Lonchura striata: one gene and its partner. The protein of the gene in region 2 purifies or fractionates together with the protein of the main gene of each other region. This does not show direct contact. Links are inferred from orthologs where the notes say so. Each region holds a gene or a part of one and is shown on either strand. Other genes may lie near its edges. The genes, in order: RPL7L1 and RPL13A.

Region 1 (9,364 bases), on a different chromosome or scaffold from region 2:
TTAAGCACTATGAAAATACAGAAAGCCTTTCTACAATGGCTATATGAGGAATTTAGAAAGACTGTGAAAACACCTGAAATAAAAGCACCAGGGGTATACACAAAGTAGGTCAGGTTCTTCTCTCTGCTGCAGATTTAAGAGCCTTCTATTCTTTGATAAAACCTACCTGCCTAATTAGCTCTGCCTCGTCACCAACTCTTAGAGTAGGCAGTGCCTTGACAAAATTGGTTTAAAGAAAAAAAAATAGCATATGTTTTCCAGCATTTTTCAGCTACAACTTCAGTGTGTCATATGCCAAGGTGGGAGATGCTGTTTTGAGAATTAAGAGTTTGACAATTATTTGATTATTTTGATAATTAACATTTGTTTGAAGCATACCTGCATCCGAGTGATTTCTTTCACTATTGGGTTTGTGTACTGACAGAAAGAAGCTTACTCTTACTGTTAAAAAGTAGGAAAAAAAGATGATGACTCTTCTACTTTTTCTATACAATACATCAAAAATAATTTACAGTATAATTAATATGTGAATAGAAAATTTGAACTAGCAAGACAGGCTTGTTATCCTGCTGACTGGTTTAGAAACAGGACCTGTTTTTTCTTCAGGAGCTCTTCCTAAGGATGTCTCTTGGGTCAGAAACTATCTCAGAAGTGAGAACACAGCATCTGATATAGAAATGCCTTGATTCCACCAGGGGTTATGGAAAACTCTCAGGGAAGAACCAAGTCTTGCTGAGCACAGCACAGAGGAGCAGCACAGTTTCTTTGGATTCCTGTGGTTTATTCGTGTTGAGGCATTCCCCTCATCTCATCCCCCTTTTTTCCAGGTGATGGAGTGCCCCTGCAGTCTCAGTCTGCCAGCTGATGGATCACTGTTACAGCTGGACAATGATGCTCCAAGCTGCTGGAACCAAGCAGCTGGGCTTTGCTTGCTGTGGTCCGGGCAGTGCTACCTGGAGCTACACAGATATTGATTCCTTTCTCACTTTTTCCACCTCTCCTCAGCTTTTTGGCAAATTTGCCTCATCCTTCTCGCTTTTAGACAGTGCTGATAATAGATCACTGCAGGAACAGGATTCATTTATCCAAAGCTCTTTAAAGACTGGAAAGGGTGGACTTCAAAGGCAGGAAAATGGGACACGGTGCAGCTGAGCAGGGAAGGGCATGCATTCAGATTAAATGAGCCCTTCTGTATGCAGGCAAAGAAACTGATTTCTGTCTGCCTTTTCTAATGCTGGGCTATAATAGCAAGGGCAAATATAAAATGGGATCTATTTCATTTGAATGGAAAATTTAGAGCTGAGCTAGCAGAAAGGCCACATCCACTGGGGGCAGGGGAGGTGGGCAGGAACACACGGCTGGAATGTGTAACTCCTCTGGTGGCTAAGAGGTCTGGGTCTTCAATCCAAGTTCATGTGCTGAAAAACCCAAATTATTACCTGTGAACCTGCCTCCTGCTGCCTTCATCGGAGGTTCCCTTTTTGTGCTGAAAGAGGAATCCCAGAATTTATCATTTTACTGACTGTTTTATCTTCCCTCAAGCACCTTTCTCCCAGCTGGCAGGTCCAGTCTATATAACTGCTCCACAGATGGAAACTATTCCCTGTGTTTGATCTTCTTTCTCTGAATCTTTTCCAAGTCTGTCTTGGGGGAAGGTGGGTGGAGGTATGAGATGGACAGATGGAAGAAAGATGACCGACCAAAGCTGGAGCATTCAAAATGCGGGTGTGAGAGGCTATGCTGTGGAATCAGTTTTTGCTTTGTTCCTTACCCCTTCTCTAATAATTTTCAATTACTGTTCAGTTGTCCTAAGCATTAAGCTGATATTTTTATCTATCTCTAATAGTTCCAAAATCCTACTCCCAATCTTATTATCTTACCTTGAACCCATCATTTCATAGAAAAATTTGTGAAACATTGCTGCACTTTTATTTACTGATTTTTATCTGCTGTTTCACTGCTTAGCACTCAGACTTATAACATCTGCTGTGCCATGAGGAGAACCCTGCAACTACCTCCTCCCTTCCTTTGTTTCTGCTGTGTGTAGGGACACAGCCTCTTTCTTGGGAAAAAGCTACAGGTGACCACTTACATCCCTCCTACTCCTTCTCTCTGTGTTTTTCTGCCTGGTGTTTTCTGGCCAAATACTGACGCTCTGTAGCTTTATCTGGGCAGTTGTCACCAATAATTGCAGACAAACTCAAATATTCCAATCAGAACTTTCCCTGCATAAATTAACAGGAAAAAAAGTGAGAGGACCTTTATAGCCCTATTGCACTGTCAGCACTCAGGGCCACACCTTCCTTCAGGGCTCAGCCTGTGAAACTGCTGTGATTTTATATTAATTACTGCAGGTCACTTCTCACTTATGATGTCTTAATCCTTTTCTGATTCCTGTTTCTGTTGAAACAACTGCTGCCTGTTTCTTCCCTAGTCTCCCAAACTGAACTTGCAAAAGAATATTACATAGTTGTGTCAGTAACCAGAGCCATAAAATAAAAATAATTAAATGCTTATTTTTAAAGAAAAATAGATTAAAAGTTATCGTCCACTACCCAACACCTTTGTAGGAGAACCACTGAGGTTTAGAACAGAGAGCATTATCTGTCTATGCAAAGCATCTCCTATTGAGTTGTCTACACTGACATGATAAACTTCCTAATTAGGCTATTCCATTCCATCTCTTTTTATGGCTCCCCAGTCTGTAGTATTTTTATGAATAGTTTATGCTGTGGTGTACTTATTAATATGCTTCCACAACCTAAATGGCATAATTATCTTGAAGGTTCAATTAAAAAGTAGGAGGTAGGATTCCCAATTACTGAGTGTGGGAAAGACTCCTATTCTGTTCTCACTGTCTTTCATCTCAGACATAATTGATCTTTCTCCCAAATACAATGCAGCTTTTTGTCCCTGTGGAAGAAGGAGAGAGGTCATGGAGACCTGTGGAGACTACATATAATAATGTCTATTTTTATCTCCACTGTTCTTTAAAGATACAATTAAATTTGTTGTACACTCAAATTGCAGCCACCATGTACACTCTCTTATAGACAAAGCAGAGAAATAAATTATTTTCATTGCTGTTTATTGCAATCGAAAAACAATTTTTCTATTTTGGGGTCATTAGCCAGGCCTTTACAAGTGCATTAGAAGTAAAACAAAATCAATTTACATTTTAATTCTTACAATTGTTTCACTTTGGAAACTTGTAAATAGGTAACACCACTCTTTCAGAATATGTCAGAACATTCTGACAGATATAAATCTGTAATTTAATATTTGTAACTTAAAACTTCAGATAACATTTCCAGGGACAATAATTGAAAATTGTGCCAGGGCTTTATTAGTAGTCTGATTTTCTTCTAGGGAATTATTCACAACAGTTACTGTAAAAATGAGCTTTTGAAACTGGAATATTTTCCATTGTTGCTGATAAATTAGTGGCACTAAAGAATGAATTGTTTTGCCCCATTCAATTTTTTTTCTAGGGAGACACAAAGACAAGTTTTATGTTTTAGCCTTTTCAATTTGACGTATTAGGTGCCGCTAACTGAGGGGACCCATCTATGTTAGTCTCATACCCACATTGCTCCTTTTGTAGTGAATTTGCAGGATTACTGACAAAAAGGCCCATCTTAAGGAAGCTTATTTTGAAAATAATAAACCCATGCATCTATCTACAGTGTTTCTAAAAATATTTTAATGAAATTTTAGTCCATCTCTATATGATTGCTGTTTCCATGAAAGAAAGTCTTGGATCACCCAACTTTTCTCTCTATTAATTATTGGTTAGAGTGTGTGCATGGAGTAATTTCCAGACATCTGTCCTAATTGTATAAACTTTTCCCTTAAAAGATCTGAAAATAGGCATAATTTAAAATCTCAAGGTACTTTCCTTATTAAAATATTCTCAGGATTAGATCATTGGTAAAATAAACAAAATTTAATTTCTTTGGCTCTTTTTATAAAGAATTTATTACAAACAGATTTCAGACTAGGGCATAGTTCAATGATGAAAGTGATAGACCTAAAGCCCTCTTGCTGTTTCGAGACTGCATACAGCATCAATAAAGGTTTTGTGGGATTTGGAATTAATTTAATGGAGTTTTATACCCATGGAATGAGAAAATAAGTCAAGAAGTTCCATGGACCTCTGACATCCCATCTCATCTCCTGACTTGGCTTTTGGAATTGGAGCCCTAAAATTTTGTGTGTGGGAATTCAGAGTGCTGAAGGCCAGTGTACAGCAGGTTGCTGTCTAGGAAAGTGGGAACACTTTTCTTGGGTATCCCTGCAAACAGGGACATTTGAATATCCATTCATTAAAACAATATAACTGCTGGTTGAAGTTCAGCAAATCAGCCTCGGAATGCTGCTGTGCTGGGAGACTTTTCAACAGCAACAGCACTTCAAATATTTACTTACTTATTGCTTCCTGGCCATTAATGGTGGAATACCCAAGAGCCTGTTTGCATTTCCCTCCTGTTCAACAAAGCACACTCATTTGTAGATTTAAATGGGCCACTTTCTCTGTTGTGAACTACGAGGGATTCCAGCTATTTTTGTAAGTCAGGGTGAAAATTGTGTAGTTATGGGAAAAGTTTCAGATTATTTATTTCCTAAGCTTGTTGCTTTGTGTGTCATATGCAAAAAAAAAAAAAAAAAAAAAAAAAAAAAAAAAAAAAAAAAGAATGCATATGAGAGCTGGGTTTGATCACCGACGGCTTGTTCTTCCTGGCATTTGGGATCGAGTTGCTAAATACGGATTTTCATGTTTTAGGTGTCAAAACAGAAGCGGGCTCATTTAGAGTGTTGTAAAGGTTTGCAGCATCACCAAGGTGAGCAGCGAAACCCTGGCACGACCGAACCTCCCGGCAAGGCTGGAGCTCCTCACCGGTGAGAGGACACTACGGTCAGTGGAAATGAGAAGGATTTCGGGCTGTAAGGTCCCGCATCCCGCACGGCACACCAGGAACACATCTCCACCAGCACCCAGCCGAGAGCGCGGCTCTGGCACCACCTGCGGGTGACGCGCCGGTCACACCGCGCGTCTCCCGGGCCCGCCGCCTGTGGCTGCCGGGCGAGCGCAGGGCCGGCAGCGCCGCCATCCCGCTCCATCCCGCTCCATCCCGCTCCATCCCGCTCCATCCCGCTCCATCCCGCTCCATCCCGCTCCATCCCGCTCCATCCCGCTCCATCCCGCTCCCGGCACTCCGCGATCCCGGGCCGGCGAGCGGCTCCCGAGGGGCAGCGGCCATGGCCCCGCCCCCGCGCATGCGCGGCAGCAGCGCGGCAACATGGCGGAGCTGGAGGAGTGAGTGCGGCGTAGGGGGAAGAGTGGAGGGCATGCGGGATCCGCCGCCATCCGCGGGCTGGGGGCGGCCACGGAGCCGGCCCGGGAAGGGGCGGGATGCGGGAATGCGGGATGGGGCCGGGATGTGACCGGGTTGTCCCGCCCGCAGGCCGAAGCGGCGGATCCCGCTGGTGCCGGAGAACTTGCTGAAGAAGAGGAAGGCGTACCTGGCCATCAAGGCCACCCAGGCCAAGCAGGCGCTGCTCAACAAACGCAAGGTACGGCGGGTCCCGGCAGAGCCTGGGCCTGCAGCTCCAGCTCCCCCTCCGGAGAAGGGAACCGCAATTCCTTGAAATTCCTGGGAAATGACCCGAGTGGTCGGGCCCCTCAGAGCGCCGCGGGATTCCGGGGTTCCGAGGGGGACTTGAGTCCCTCAACATCTTCTCCTTTGAGCCTTGTAAAGCGGACAGAATTGTACCGGTTATTACACCGAAACAGAAATATATAGAAGACTGTGAGTTGTTCCTGTTGGATCAGTGGTGGTCAGGTATTTGCAGTCACATGTGGGAAACTGCAGCGCTATCTCTGCTGCCCTGGGATTTCACTGCCTGAAACCACCTTTGTGTTGAAACCCTGCATGGAAGCCGTCCTTTTCTGAGGGCGGCTTTAGAGTTTTCTGTTAGAGCAGCACTGGTCATGATGAAGCCTTTTTCTGCGAGTGGGGTGACACATGTCCTACACCCTGTGCACATCGTGCCATTTCCAGACTAGCAGAGTACAGCAAACCTTTCTAATTCCAAATCTGAGACTTGTTGTGCTGTGTCACAGCTAATACAATAGGTGTCTGTCTTAAAGATTTCCAGTGAATCTTGTGGGATGTGCAAAACTCCTGCCATTTTTGTTTGATACCATGTTTACATTTTTAAAAGCATCAGTGGTTTGCTGTATTTCCAAGGTGGGAGCATAAGCAGTAATATTACATAGCCACTCCTTAAGATTCTCATTAAAAAGGATCTTAGTGATGAGACTTTTATTAGGTCTCCATGCTTTGAAAATTCAAACGAATTTAATGGGTTATTTACAAGGTGAAATAGAACAGAAGACACACAACATTAGATTCTTTAAAGTGGCCAGGTAATTTAACCAGTAGAGTATCTTAAATATCATTGTGTAATGCTGTGCATTTTCAAGTCCTGTTTGTATGAGAAAACACTATGAGTGTTGGTGGATGTACTCATTCCTAAGGTAAAGAGAGACATTTAAATATCTGTTGCCCACATGCCGTTTCTGGCTTTCCCAGCCATTGCTGAGCTCTGTCTGTAGCTATGCCTAGAAGTATCCCAGGTCTTTTCCTTAACTTATACTTTTCCTAGGGAAAAACTCTTTGTTCACTGTTCATAAATAATAGTTGTGTATAAATTCATGTTGTCCCTCAGTTCTGTCTCCCTTGGGCTTAGATAATCAAATTTATTTTTTTACTGCTTCCAAAGCTGTAAGGACATTGTTCACTACTTTGCATTTCATTTGGCCTTTCAGATGCAAACCTCACTTTGTTTTCCTTTTGTCTGCAGCAGCAGAAGGGGAAACAGATCCAGTTCAGGCGCCTGGAGACCTTTGTTCGGGATTCATGGCGCAAACGCCGGGATGACACCCGGCTGAGGCGCATGGAGCAGAGGCCTGGGCAGGCAGTGGCACCTCAGGAGAGCAAGCTGGCCTTCGTCGTGAGGATTGTGGAGTAAGAGCCTTCCCCTACTCCTTCCATTGTTGCTACCCGTTGTTGTGTCGTTTCCATACCAAGGCAGTGGGATCAACCTAGACATGTCTCCTTGCAGGTGATCTGAGGCCTTTAGTTGCTGTATTAGAAAAATGTGGTTACTAATAAATTCTGTTTTCCTCAGTATTAAGGGAGTGACTAAGAGGGTGAAAAGAGTGATTGAGTTGCTGCGGCTGAGGAAGAATTATACCGGGGTATTTGTGAAGCTGAGCCCACTGTCGCTGAAGATGCTGCGCATCGTGGAGCCTTATGTGGCGTGGGGGTACGTGCCCCTCCTGTGACTTGGGGGTCATTGGATTCTCCAGTTGCTATCACAGATCCATTACTTCTCCAATCATGGTCAAAACTTAATCAACTTTGTATTAAAAACTTGCTATTTTCTTTGTTCTGATTGTTCTTGACATAACTTGTGTACTTTCCCACCTCTGCACAAGGAAGTGGTATGGGTGTCCCTCTGCATCATGTCTCTCTGTTACAGGATCTGATTTTTGTTTCTGCACAGACAGCCTAACCTGAAATCTGTACGAGAGCTCATCCTGAAACGGGGCCAAGCCAAGATCAAGAAAAAGAAGGTGCCTCTGACAGACAACATGCTGATAGAGGAACATTTAGGTGAGGAAGAGGGTGAGAAAATTGAGGAAAGGGTTAGGTGTTGAGAGTTTACAGTCTGGCCTGAAAGGGTGGGGACAGACAAAATCTTGTCAAACTGGAGGACTGGCAGTTCTGGAGCAGTGTGAGGAAAGATTATACAGCTGGACATCTTTTTTTTTCCCTCATACAGGGGGCTGTAATATCATTTGCCTGGAAGACCTTATTCATGAAATCTACTCAACTGGGAAGTATTTCAAAAGAGTAACCAGCTTTCTGTGGCCGTTCCACCTGTCAGTGGCTCGCCACGCATCACGGAACAGAGTGGGTTTCCTCAAGGAGATGGGCAAGCCTGGCTACAGAGGTGATGCAATCAACCAGCTCATCCGTCAGCTCAACTAGTCAGGTGAGCAGTGCCTGCTGGGTTAGTTCTGAAGCTTACCCTTCATTCCCTGTCCTAAGGACAACCAGACTGCCATTGAAGATGAATGGGGTGCTCACTTGGTTTTGTCACTCTGCAAAACTGACCTCAGAGTAGGAGAAACTAATCAAGAGTGATCCCTTTAGGATCAGCACATGCAGTTGGACACCTCCATGAAGGCTTGGCTCCTGGGAGATAATATGACTTTATTTTATATTTTCTTCCCTATTCTGCAGGGATTTTGTGAAAACTGGGATCTATGACCTGTTCCTTTTCACATGTACCTTTTGTGGACATTATCTACATGCAGTGATCTGTATGCAACTTCTCTTGATTGCTGGTGCCTCTATAAAAGAAGAAACACAAAGATGATGATGGAGATGGACTTTGGGCTGGCCCTTCTTAAAGAAGATAAATTCTCTTTGGTACAAGAATGAGCTTCTTGGAGCAATTTCACATTTGCATCTCTGTAAAATAAGTGTTTTTTATGCACACTACTACAGACTTCACTCTTTGATGTGCTTCTGGGGGTGAAAGGGGTAGTGCAGTCACAATTGTGCTGATAGGCAAAAGAAAAAAAAGAAAACACCATGCTCTGTTACTGCAGCACAAGCCCTAGCCGTGAATAATGTCACTTGTTAAGTACCTGGATTGTATTTATTTTTTAAAAATTAAGGGTTTGTGGTCCTGATTTAAAGAGCTTTTTTTTTTTTTTGCCTTTTTTTTTTTTTTTTTTCTTTTGCTGTATTGGGACTGCTGGGGAGAAGTATTTCCTGGAAATAAGAAAATGCAAGAAATACAGTCCTGGGATAGGGTATATGTAATCTGTGTTTTTTAAATAAAATTCTGAAATTATATTATTATAACAGAAAGTTCTGCATCACTGTAAAAGAGTGGAAAAACCAGTTAAACACTCTGGCTGGAATGAATTTAGTGAAGGAAGTGAACAAAACCATGTAAGTCTGAAAGTTCCAGAGATTTAAATCCCTAATTTCTTCCACTACAGAAATGGTAAGAACACATGAAAGAGTCCAGTGCTGTTTAACAAATATGGAAGGCAGTGTCATTAGTTCACTGTGACTGTTTAAACTGTTGCTTGAAAACTTAGGTGGGAGCAAAGTGTTAATCCATTAATGGATTTCATACAGAGTCCACACCACATGGAGACTCAGGAAGGAAACAGTTAAGTAACAAGGAGGATGTCTTGGGTGTTGCTTGTGTGACAGTTATAAACTAGAATGTAGCATTCATGGAACCATCTGAAGTACCAAGAACTGTAGACTCT
Region 2 (9,058 bases):
TGGCCGAGCCCCCCAACTTCCCGCACGGCGCCGGGCTGCGCTACGAGGCACAGCACGTGCGGGACTGCCTGCTCCGGGGTGAGCTTTTGGGGCGAAACGCGGGGATTTGGGTGAAAAAATGGGTCTGGGGGGAAACCATGGGGTTTGGGGGGAAACCACGGGGTTTGGGGTGAAGTAATGGGTCTGGGGGGGGGAAAGCAATGGGTTTCGGAGGGAAAACACTGGGGTTTTGGACAAAATAACAGGTTTGGGGGGAAATAACGAGATTTTGGGCAAAATAAAATGGTCTGGGGGGGAACAACAGGTTTTGGGGCAAAACCACACTGTTTTGGGCAAAACAATGGGTCTGGGGGGGAACAACAGGTTTTGGGGGAAAGCCCCGGGGTTTTGGGGTGAAACCCCCAATTTTGGGGTGAATGCCGGGTTTGGGGTGACCCAGGACTGACTGAGAGCCCCGAGATGCCGCTGGCCGAGAGCGAGGTCATCGCACAGCTGCTGGACGAGGCGCGGGCCCAGGTGGGGGTGCGGCTGTCCGGAGTGACCACTGACCACCCGGAGCGGCCACTGACCCTCCTGAGTGACCAGCCACCCTCCGGAGTGACCACTGACCACCCGGAGCAGCCACTGACCCTCCTGAGTGACCAGCCACCCTCTGGAGTGACCACTGACCACCCGGAGCGGCCACTGACTCTCCCGAGTGACCACTGACCACCCGGAGCGGCCACTGACTCTCCCGAGTGACCACTGACTGCCCGGAGTGACCAGCCACCCTCCCAAGTGACCCCTAACCCTCCTGAGTGACCCCGGAGTGACCGCAGCAGCTCCGGCGCTGCGTGCCCATGGTTTAATAAAATCGCCAAAATCTCTGAAACCACCCCAAAACAGTGGCCGGCCACTGCCAGTGTATCCCAGTTTGGGTTTATTACAGCCCCTTTTGGGTTGGTTACAGCAGGATCCCGTGCTGCCGCAGCACCGCCGTGAACGGCGCCGCTTTCTTCTCCGCGCTGCGCTCGGCCCGGCGCCGCAGGCTCTGGGGCCAAAAACGGGAGAATCAGGAAAAAGGGGAAAAAGATGGAAAAAACCATGAGAATTGGGTAAAAAACGTGGAAAAAAACAAGCAAAAAATGTGAGAATCAGGGGAAAAGAAAAAAAACCAGAAAAAAACGGGAGAATCGGGGAAAAGGGAAAAAACAGGAAAGAGTGGGGAAAAAAAAAAGGGAAAATCAGGGAAAAGGGAAAAAAGCCAGGAAAAAACACGTAAAAATCAGAGAAAAAGGAAAAAAAAAAAACAGGAGAAAAATGAGGTAATAATGGGAAAAGGACAAAACAAGGAAAAAAAAGGGAGACTCGATTTGACCCCAATTCCCCCCACCCTGAATTCCAATGGAATTCAGGTCTTGCCCCTGGTTTGAGGCTTTTACCTCCTTTTAGGACTCTTTTACCTGGCTTTAGGATTTTTACCTGGTTTTAGGGCTTTTCCGCTGTTTTTCTGGACTTTCCCACCCCTGCCAGCATTTTGAAATCCCAATCCCAAATCCTGGGGGGTTCTCCCTGCCTGGCTCTGGACCCTCCCCCCGATTTGGGTGTCCTCCCGAGGGATTTTGGGGCGTTTTCCCCGTTTTCCTCACCATCATCTTCCTCTTCTTGTTGTAGCGGAGCTTGGCCTTCTCCTTCCGCTTCTCCTCCAGGGCCTCGGTCACGTCCCGGTACTTCCAGCCCACCTCGTGTGCCAGCCGGCCCAGAACGGCAAACTGGGAGGCACGGGGGGCTCAGAACCCCAAAACCCCCCCAAATCCCATAAAACCACCCCCAATCCTATAAAACCCCACCAAAACCCCATAAAACCAGCCCAAATCCCATAAAACCCCACCAAAACCCCATAAAACCACCCAAATCCCATAAAACCTGGCCCAATCCCATAAAACCACCCAGAACTGCCCAAAATACCACAAAACTCACCCAAATCTCCCTAATTCTCCACCGAAATCCCATAAAACCCTTAAAATCCCATAAACCCCCTAAAAAAGTCCCAGAAAACCCCCTAAAATCCCTTAAACTTCTTAAAAACCCTCATGAAACCCCCCAAAAATCCCACTACCCCCATTAAAATCCCATACAACCCCTAAAAAACCATATAAAGCTCCCTAAAATCCCATAGACTCCTAAAAAAATCCATTAAAAAACCCTCATAAAACTGCCTAAAACGCTGTAAAATCCACACAACAATCCCATAAAACTCCCAAAATCCCAAAAACTCCTAAAAACCCCCCAAACCCCCTCCCGCACCCACCTTGCGCGTGGGTTTGAGGCGGATGATTTTGAGGGCAGCCGGCACCACCATCCGCTTCCTCTGGAAAACCCAGGAATTTCGGGATTTTTGGGGGTTTTTTTAAGGTTTTTGGGGTTTTATTGGGCAGGTCCCAGGGGTGGGCGGGGCTCCAGGTGTCTCAGATTTGTTTTTTTCTCAGCAGAAATCGAACAATGTAGGTAAAAATGACATCACTGACACCACGGCTCATTTTGGGGGGATTTTAGGGAGATTTGGGGGGGAAATTTGGGGAGTTCTGGAGGGGGAATTTGAAGGACATTTGGGGGATTTTAGAGAGGGAATTTTGGGGAAGATTTCAGGGTTTTGGCAGTGGAAATTTGGAGGGCTCCAGAGAGGGAATTTGGGAATGACTTGGGGATTTCTGGAGTGGCAATTCGGGGGGTTTTGGAGGGAGAATTTTGGGTAAGATTTGGGGGTTTGGGGTTTTCCCACCTTGTCGTAGGGCGGGGGGATACCATCGAACACCTTGAGCCGCTCCAGGGCCGCCTGGCCCCGCTTGGTTTTGTGGGGCAGCATCCCTGAATTTGGGGTGAAAACACAGATTTAGCATCCTTGGATTTGGGGTGAAAGCACTGGGATTAGGGCAATTCCCAGGGCTGATTTTGGGATAATCAGAGAAAAAGGAAAAAAAGAGGAAAAAACCAAAAAAAAAAAAAAAGAGAGTCAGAGAAAAAGAAAAAAAACGGGAAAAAAAAAGGAGAATCAGGGAAAAAGGAAATAAAATCAGAAAAAAAGCGGAGTTTTCACCTCGGACCGTGCGCCAGAAGATCCGACTGGGAGCTCGGAAGTGGAAAGGGCCCCGCGAGGGGTTGGTGTTCATCCTCTTCCTCAGGAATGCCAGGAACTTCACTGCGGGGAAAACGGGGCAAAATCCCTCAGGAACGGCAGAAAACGGGACAAAATCCCTCCGAAATGGCACTTTGGGAACTGGGGAGTGCCAGGATGGGGAAACAGGGGGAAATCCCCCCAAAAACTTCACTGGGGTGGGCAAACAGAGTGAATTCCCTAAATGGGATTTGGGGAATGCGAAAATCCCCCAAAATGGGGGCTGGGGGTGCACCGAGAACCTTCTGGAAACTTCTGCGTGACTCAGGAACGGCGGGACCGACCCTAAAACCCGGGATTGTCCCCAAAACCCGGGATTGTCCCCAAAACCCGGGACTGTCCCCAAAACCTGGCACTGCCCTCAAAATCCGGGATCTCCTTCCATTCCCGGGATTTCTCCCGAACCCGGGATTTCTCCCGAACCCGGGACCCCCGGGCCACTCACGCTTGTTGCGGTAGAAGTTCCCAGAGATGTTGATGCCCTCGCAGCGAACCACGACCACGCGGCGGCCTGCGGAGAGCGCGGCGGGCCCGGTCAGCCCAGCCCGGTGCCCCCGGTACCCCCAGTATCCCCCGGTGCCCCCGCGCTCAGCTGGTAGTGCATGGAGGCAGCTCTCATTGTCGTTAAACTCGACAGCCGACAGCGCTCATCACGGCGCGGGGGGCCCGGTGCCCCGGGATTGTCCCGGGATTCCCCCGGTGTGCCCCGGGAAAGGCTCCCGCACTCACCCAGCAGCACCTGCTTGGCCACGATCGCCGCCAGCCGGCCCAGGAGGTGCCCGCGCCCGTCGATCACCAGAACCTGCGGCGCGGGCGGCACCGGGTGAGGCCCCGCCGCCACCGGGGCCGGGCCGCACCGCGGGGCCGCCACGTGGCCGCGCCCCGCGCTCCCCCCGCCGCCCGCCCGCCGCTCCCCGCAGCCCCCCGCAGCGCCCGGCCCCATCCCAGAGCCCCGCGGAGCCCGGCCGGGCGCCCCTCCCGCCCCGTGCCGCCCCCGTGCCGCCGCGCCGCACCCGCGGCTCCGCCATGGCCGCCGCCCGCTCGCAAAGAGGCCCCGCCCCCCACGCGGGGTCGCCGCTTCCGTCGGGGACAGCGGCGGGCGGAAGTGACGCCACGACGCGAAGAGGGCGCGAAGCCGCGCCGGGATGCGCCACTGAGGGCGGAAGTGGGGCGGGAACGCCCCCGGTGCCCCCAGTCCCTCCCGGTGCTCCCAGTACGCGCAGGACCCGCTCCCCGGCCTCCCAGTGCTGCCCCAGTTCCCCGCCCAGTACCTGCAGTCCCTCCCAGTGCCCCCAGTAACCATCCGAATCCCTCCCAGTGTCCCCAGTACAGCACTCCAGGCTCTCCAGCGGTCGCTCCTTGTATTTATATATGTACAGCGGAGGGGCCCCGGCTCTCGGGGCTCTCGCACCGGGGGTCCCCGGTCGCTCCTGGGGTTCTCGGGGCTCTCAGGGACTCGGACCGGGGTTCCCCGGTGGCTCCCGGGGGTCTCAGGGCTCTCGGGGGGCTCGGACCGGGGGTCCCCGTTGGATCCCGGGGCTCTCGGGGATGGAAGGGGGGTGGGGTCGCCTCTTCGGAGCGCATCCCTGCGGGCGCCCCGCGTCACTCGTGCGGGGTCCCGGGAGCCGGGGTGGTGCCGGTGGCGCCGTAGCTGGCGGGGGGCCCTCCCGGGGGTCCCGGGGGTCCCACTCCTCCTTCCTCCTCCTCCTCCTCCTCGTCGTCCTCGCCGGCCGGCGCCAGCGGCTCCGCCTCCTCGCGCGGCGGCTCCGCCCACGGCTGCGGCTCCCCCGAGGCGAAGGCGCCGTAGAAGGCCACGCCCCCGTAGTGCACGAGCGCAGCGATCAGGAACACCCACTGCCACTCCTCGCGCGTCTGCGCCAATCAGCGCCCGACGCGTCACAGCAGGGCGGGGACACGAATGGGGAGGGGGCGTGGCCAGTGCGGAGCGCGGGAAAGAGGCGCGGCCAAGGGAAGGGCGGGGCCAAGGCGAGTGGGCGGGGCCGAGCACACAGTGAGTGACAGGCGGCCGGAGCGACCCCCAAAATTCCGAGGTCCCCTCCGGTCCCGTGGTGTCCCCCCAGGTGCCATTGTCCCCTGTGTGCCTCGGACCATGTCCCTCTGTCCTCCATGTCCATCTGTCTCCCCCCTGTCCCATTGTCCCCCCACGTCCCTCCATCCCCCGGTGTCCCTCTGTCCCCCCATGTCCCTCCGTCCCCCCCATGTCCCTCTGTGTCCCTCTGTCCCCATGTCCCATTTTCCCCCATGTCCCTCTGTCCCCCATGTCCCTCCATCCCTCCGTGTCCCTCTGTCCTCCATGTCCCTCTGTCCCCCATGTCCCTCTGTCCCCCCGTGTCCCTCTCTCCCTCTATGTCCCTCTGTCCCTCCTGCCCTCGTGTTGTCCCCTGCTGTCCCCGCACCTTGTGGCGCGTCAGTGCCCCCACGATGAGGGGACACACCATGCCCGACAGGGTCCCCACACCGTTGGACAGCCCCATCAGCACGCTGGCGTAGCGCGGCGCGATGTCCAGGTGGTTCACGTTGAACCCTGACATGGGGAGGGGACACAGGGGTATCACCTGTGTGTCACCGGTGTTTCCCCCACCCCGAGAAACCCCCAGGAAAAAACCACAGAACACCCCAAAAAACCCACAAAACACCCCAAAAAAACCCCCACAAAAACCCCCAAAACCCACAGAAAACCCACATAAAAACAACCCCAATACCCCACACAAAACACTCCAAAAAAACCCCACAAAACACCCCAAAATCTCACACAAAACCCCCCAGTCCCGCTGTCCCCACCGGAGATGGCGAAGCCGCTGAAGCCCACGGCCAGCACCAGGAAGGAGATGGCCACAGCCCGCGAGTGCGAGTAGCCCACCACCAGCAGCAGCGTGGCCTCCATGCCGAACCCTGCAAGGGGAACGCCGTCACCTGCTGTCCCCTCTACCACCGGCTGTCACCCGCTGTCCCCTCTGTGTCCCCTCAGTGCCCATGTCCCTTCTGTCTCCTCTGTCCCCTCCGTGTCTCCATGTCCCCCCAGCGCTGTCCCCACTGTCCCCTCCATGTCCCCCCGTTCCCTCTGTGTCTCCTCCATGTCCCCATGTCCCCAGTGTCCCCTCCGTGTCTCTGCTGCCCTGTGTTTGTGTCCCTGTTCCCTCTGTGTCCCCACTGTCCCCTCCATGTCCCCAGTGTCCCCTGCATGTCCGTGTTCCTTCCATGTCCCCCCTGTGTCCCTGCTGTCCTGTGTCCCCTCCATGTCCCCGCTGTCCCCTCGGTGTCCCCTCTGTCTGTGTCCCTGCTGTCCCCACCATGTCCCCGCTTTCCTGTGTCCCCCCCATGTCCCCCCCATGTCCCCGCTGTCCCCCCGTGTCCATGTCCCCGCTGTCCCGTGTCCCCGCTGTCCCCCCGTGTCCCCTGTCCCGTGCTGACCGCCGCAGTTCATCATCTTGCGGACGTTGGTGGTGGACATTAGCCCCCGCGAGCGCAGCAGGTCGGCGATCTGGCCACCGATGGGCACCACGATGGTCATCACCAGGTGCGGCAGCGCCGACAGCAGCCCCACCTGCGGGGCCGGGGGTTCGGGGCGGTTTGGGGCAGTTTTGGGGCTTTTTGGGTTTTTTTGTGTGGCTTTCTGTGGGTTTTGGGGTGTTTTGTGCAGTGTTTTCTGTGGGGTTTTTGAGATTTTTTTTTTTTTGGTGGGGTTTTTAGGAGTGTTTTGTGGGGATTTTGGGCCCAACCTTGCTGATCTCGAAGCCGAAGACCTCCTCGAAGTAGGCGGGCTGGCTGATGAGCAGCAGGTAGAAGGTCCAGCTGCGGCAGAAGTTGGCCACGATGATGGCGTAGACGGGCATCGAGGTGAAGAAGTGGCGCCAGGGTGTGGCCAGCTGCGGGTGGGGAGTGGCCACTGACCACACTGACCCCACTGACCCACTGACCGGCGGCGGTGACCCCCATGCCACCCCCGGCCCCGCTCCAGCCCCACTTCCCATGGGATGGAGCAGCTGGACCGTGCTGGAGGCCACGGTGGCCCCAAGGGTGGTGGCCACAGAGGCCTTCCAGTGGTCCCAGAGATCCCCCAGTGACCCCACTGCTTCCAGTGACCCTCCAGTGCTCCCAGTGACTGCCATGCCCATCCCAGTGACTCCCAGTGTCTGTCCCAGTACTCCCAGTGTCTGTCCCAGTACTCCCAGTGCTCATCCGAACACTCCCAGTGCCATTCCCAGCCCTCCCAGTGCCATTCCCAGTGCTCCCAGTCTGACCAGCAGCGGGTTGCTGCCCGCACTCTCGCCGATGCTCTCCTCGATGTACTTGCGCTCCTCGGCCGAGATCGTCGGGTGCTGCGCGGGGCTCTCGTAGGACACCAGCACCCAGAACAGGTACCAGAACACCCCGAAACTGCCTGGAGGGCTGGGGTTACTGGGAGGGGCACTGGGAACACTGGGGGCACTGGGAGGGGCACTGGGAGAGGTCACTGGGGGCAATGGGAGGGGTCCTGGGGGCATCCTGGGGGTCCCTGTGGGGCTTGGGGGTGTCTCGGTGGTTGCGAGGGGGTCCCAGTGGTCCTGTGAGGGTCCCGGGGGTTTCAGGGGTCCCAGGGGTGTCCCGGGGGTCCCATAAGGGTCCTGCTGGTCCCAAGGGGTCCTGGAGGGTCCCAGGGGCTCTCACCGTAGACGTAGAACACGGAGCTCCAGCCTGTGTACTGCACCAGGACCCCGGCCAGCGGCATGGCCACCACCGCCCCGGCGTACGAGCCTGCCGGGGCACGGCGGTCACCAGGGACGCCCTGGGGGCCCCCGCAGCCCCCCTGAGCCCCCCGGTAGCCCCCGGTACCGCAGAAAGCTGTGGTGGCCAGGCGGCTCCGCTCCAGGGGCGGCGCCCACTTGCTCCAGATGCCGTGACAGGCGGGGTAGGTCACGCCCTGCCGAAAGGGGCAGGGTCAACACGGGCAACGCCCACCTGGGCCACGCCCACCTGCCACACCCTGATGGGCGTGGTCCAGGGACACCAAGGGACACACCCAACCCTGGCCACGCCCACCTGGGCCACGCCCACCTACCACACCCTGATGGGCGTGGTCCAGGGACACCAAGGGACACACCCAACCCTGGCCACGCCCCCGCCATTGGGAGCGTGGAAATGGCCACGCCCCAACCTCACCAGTGGAACACCAAAATCCGCCCAGAAACACCCCAAAAACACCCCAAAAACACCTTAAAAACACCCCAAACTACCCCAAAACAAACACCGCTAAAACACCCCAAAACCACTCTAAAACAAACACTGCTAAACACCCCAAAAACACCTTAAAAATATTCCAAAACCACCCCAAAACCACCCCAAAACAAACACCACTAAAACACCCCAAACCAGCCCAAAACCACCCTAAAACCACACGAAAATCAACACAAAATTTCCCAAAACACCCCAGAGACACCCAAAATCCCCCAAAACCGCTCCTGCTCTTTTGTACGTACATGAAAACAGCCCCAAACCACCCCAAATACCCAAAACTGCCCGAAATGCCCACAAAACCCGGCGCTGACCTCCACCAGCCCCTGCATGACGCGCACGGCGATGACGCAGCCGACGTGGGTGCGCGCGGCTGACGGGATCAGCATGTTCAGCACCGAGGTGGACACGATGGCCAGCCCGAACACCCTGGCCAGGGGACACGCAGGTGACCGCCACGCCCCGGGCTCACCTGCGGGCCGGCCACGCCCCCCAGGCCAGCGCTCACCTGTTGGCCGCGAACTTCTGGGCGATGAATCCGCCAGGGATCTGCGTGACGATGTAGCCCCAGAAGAAGGAGCCGTGGATCATCCCCACTGTCTCAGGGTCCCAGTTGAACTGGGCATGCTGGGGAAGGCCCAGGAGGGGTCAGAGGGGTGGGGGACACGGCCT

Evidence for each region.
Region 1: the proteins of RPL13A (region 2) and RPL7L1 purify together in Homo sapiens (affinity purification with mass spectrometry; 3 studies listed by BioGRID and IntAct, with this or other methods). This does not show direct contact. The link is inferred for Lonchura striata from reciprocal best matches to the Homo sapiens genes RPL13A and RPL7L1.

What each region holds. Positions count from the first base shown.
Region 1 is NC_134606.1:70,021,642-70,031,005, reverse strand, and holds RPL7L1 (ribosomal protein uL30-like), read left to right. Parts: upstream 1-5,259; 5' UTR 5,260-5,300; coding exon 5,301-5,317; intron 5,318-5,465; coding exon 5,466-5,574; intron 5,575-6,867; coding exon 6,868-7,031; intron 7,032-7,194; coding exon 7,195-7,332; intron 7,333-7,572; coding exon 7,573-7,682; intron 7,683-7,851; coding exon 7,852-8,060; 3' UTR 8,061-8,064; intron 8,065-8,315; 3' UTR 8,316-8,934; downstream 8,935-9,364.
Region 2 is NC_134640.1:2,920,352-2,929,409, forward strand, and holds RPL13A (large ribosomal subunit protein uL13), read right to left. Parts: upstream 4,232-9,058; 5' UTR 4,183-4,231; coding exon 4,168-4,182; intron 3,957-4,167; coding exon 3,884-3,956; intron 3,816-3,883; exon of another isoform or gene 3,737-3,815; intron 3,666-3,736; coding exon 3,600-3,665; intron 3,179-3,599; coding exon 3,077-3,178; intron 2,848-3,076; coding exon 2,762-2,847; intron 2,512-2,761; exon of another isoform or gene 2,441-2,511; intron 2,351-2,440; coding exon 2,291-2,350; intron 1,752-2,290; coding exon 1,629-1,751; intron 1,031-1,628; coding exon 944-1,030; 3' UTR 897-943; downstream 1-896. Other genes in the region: DHDH (trans-1,2-dihydrobenzene-1,2-diol dehydrogenase), read left to right, coding at 1-78, 440-708; SLC17A7 (vesicular glutamate transporter 1), read right to left, coding at 4,757-5,026, 5,572-5,699, 5,957-6,067, 6,587-6,719, 6,895-7,041, 7,417-7,556, 7,823-7,909, 7,988-8,075 and 2 more. UniProt on the Homo sapiens protein: Associated with ribosomes but is not required for canonical ribosome function and has extra-ribosomal functions.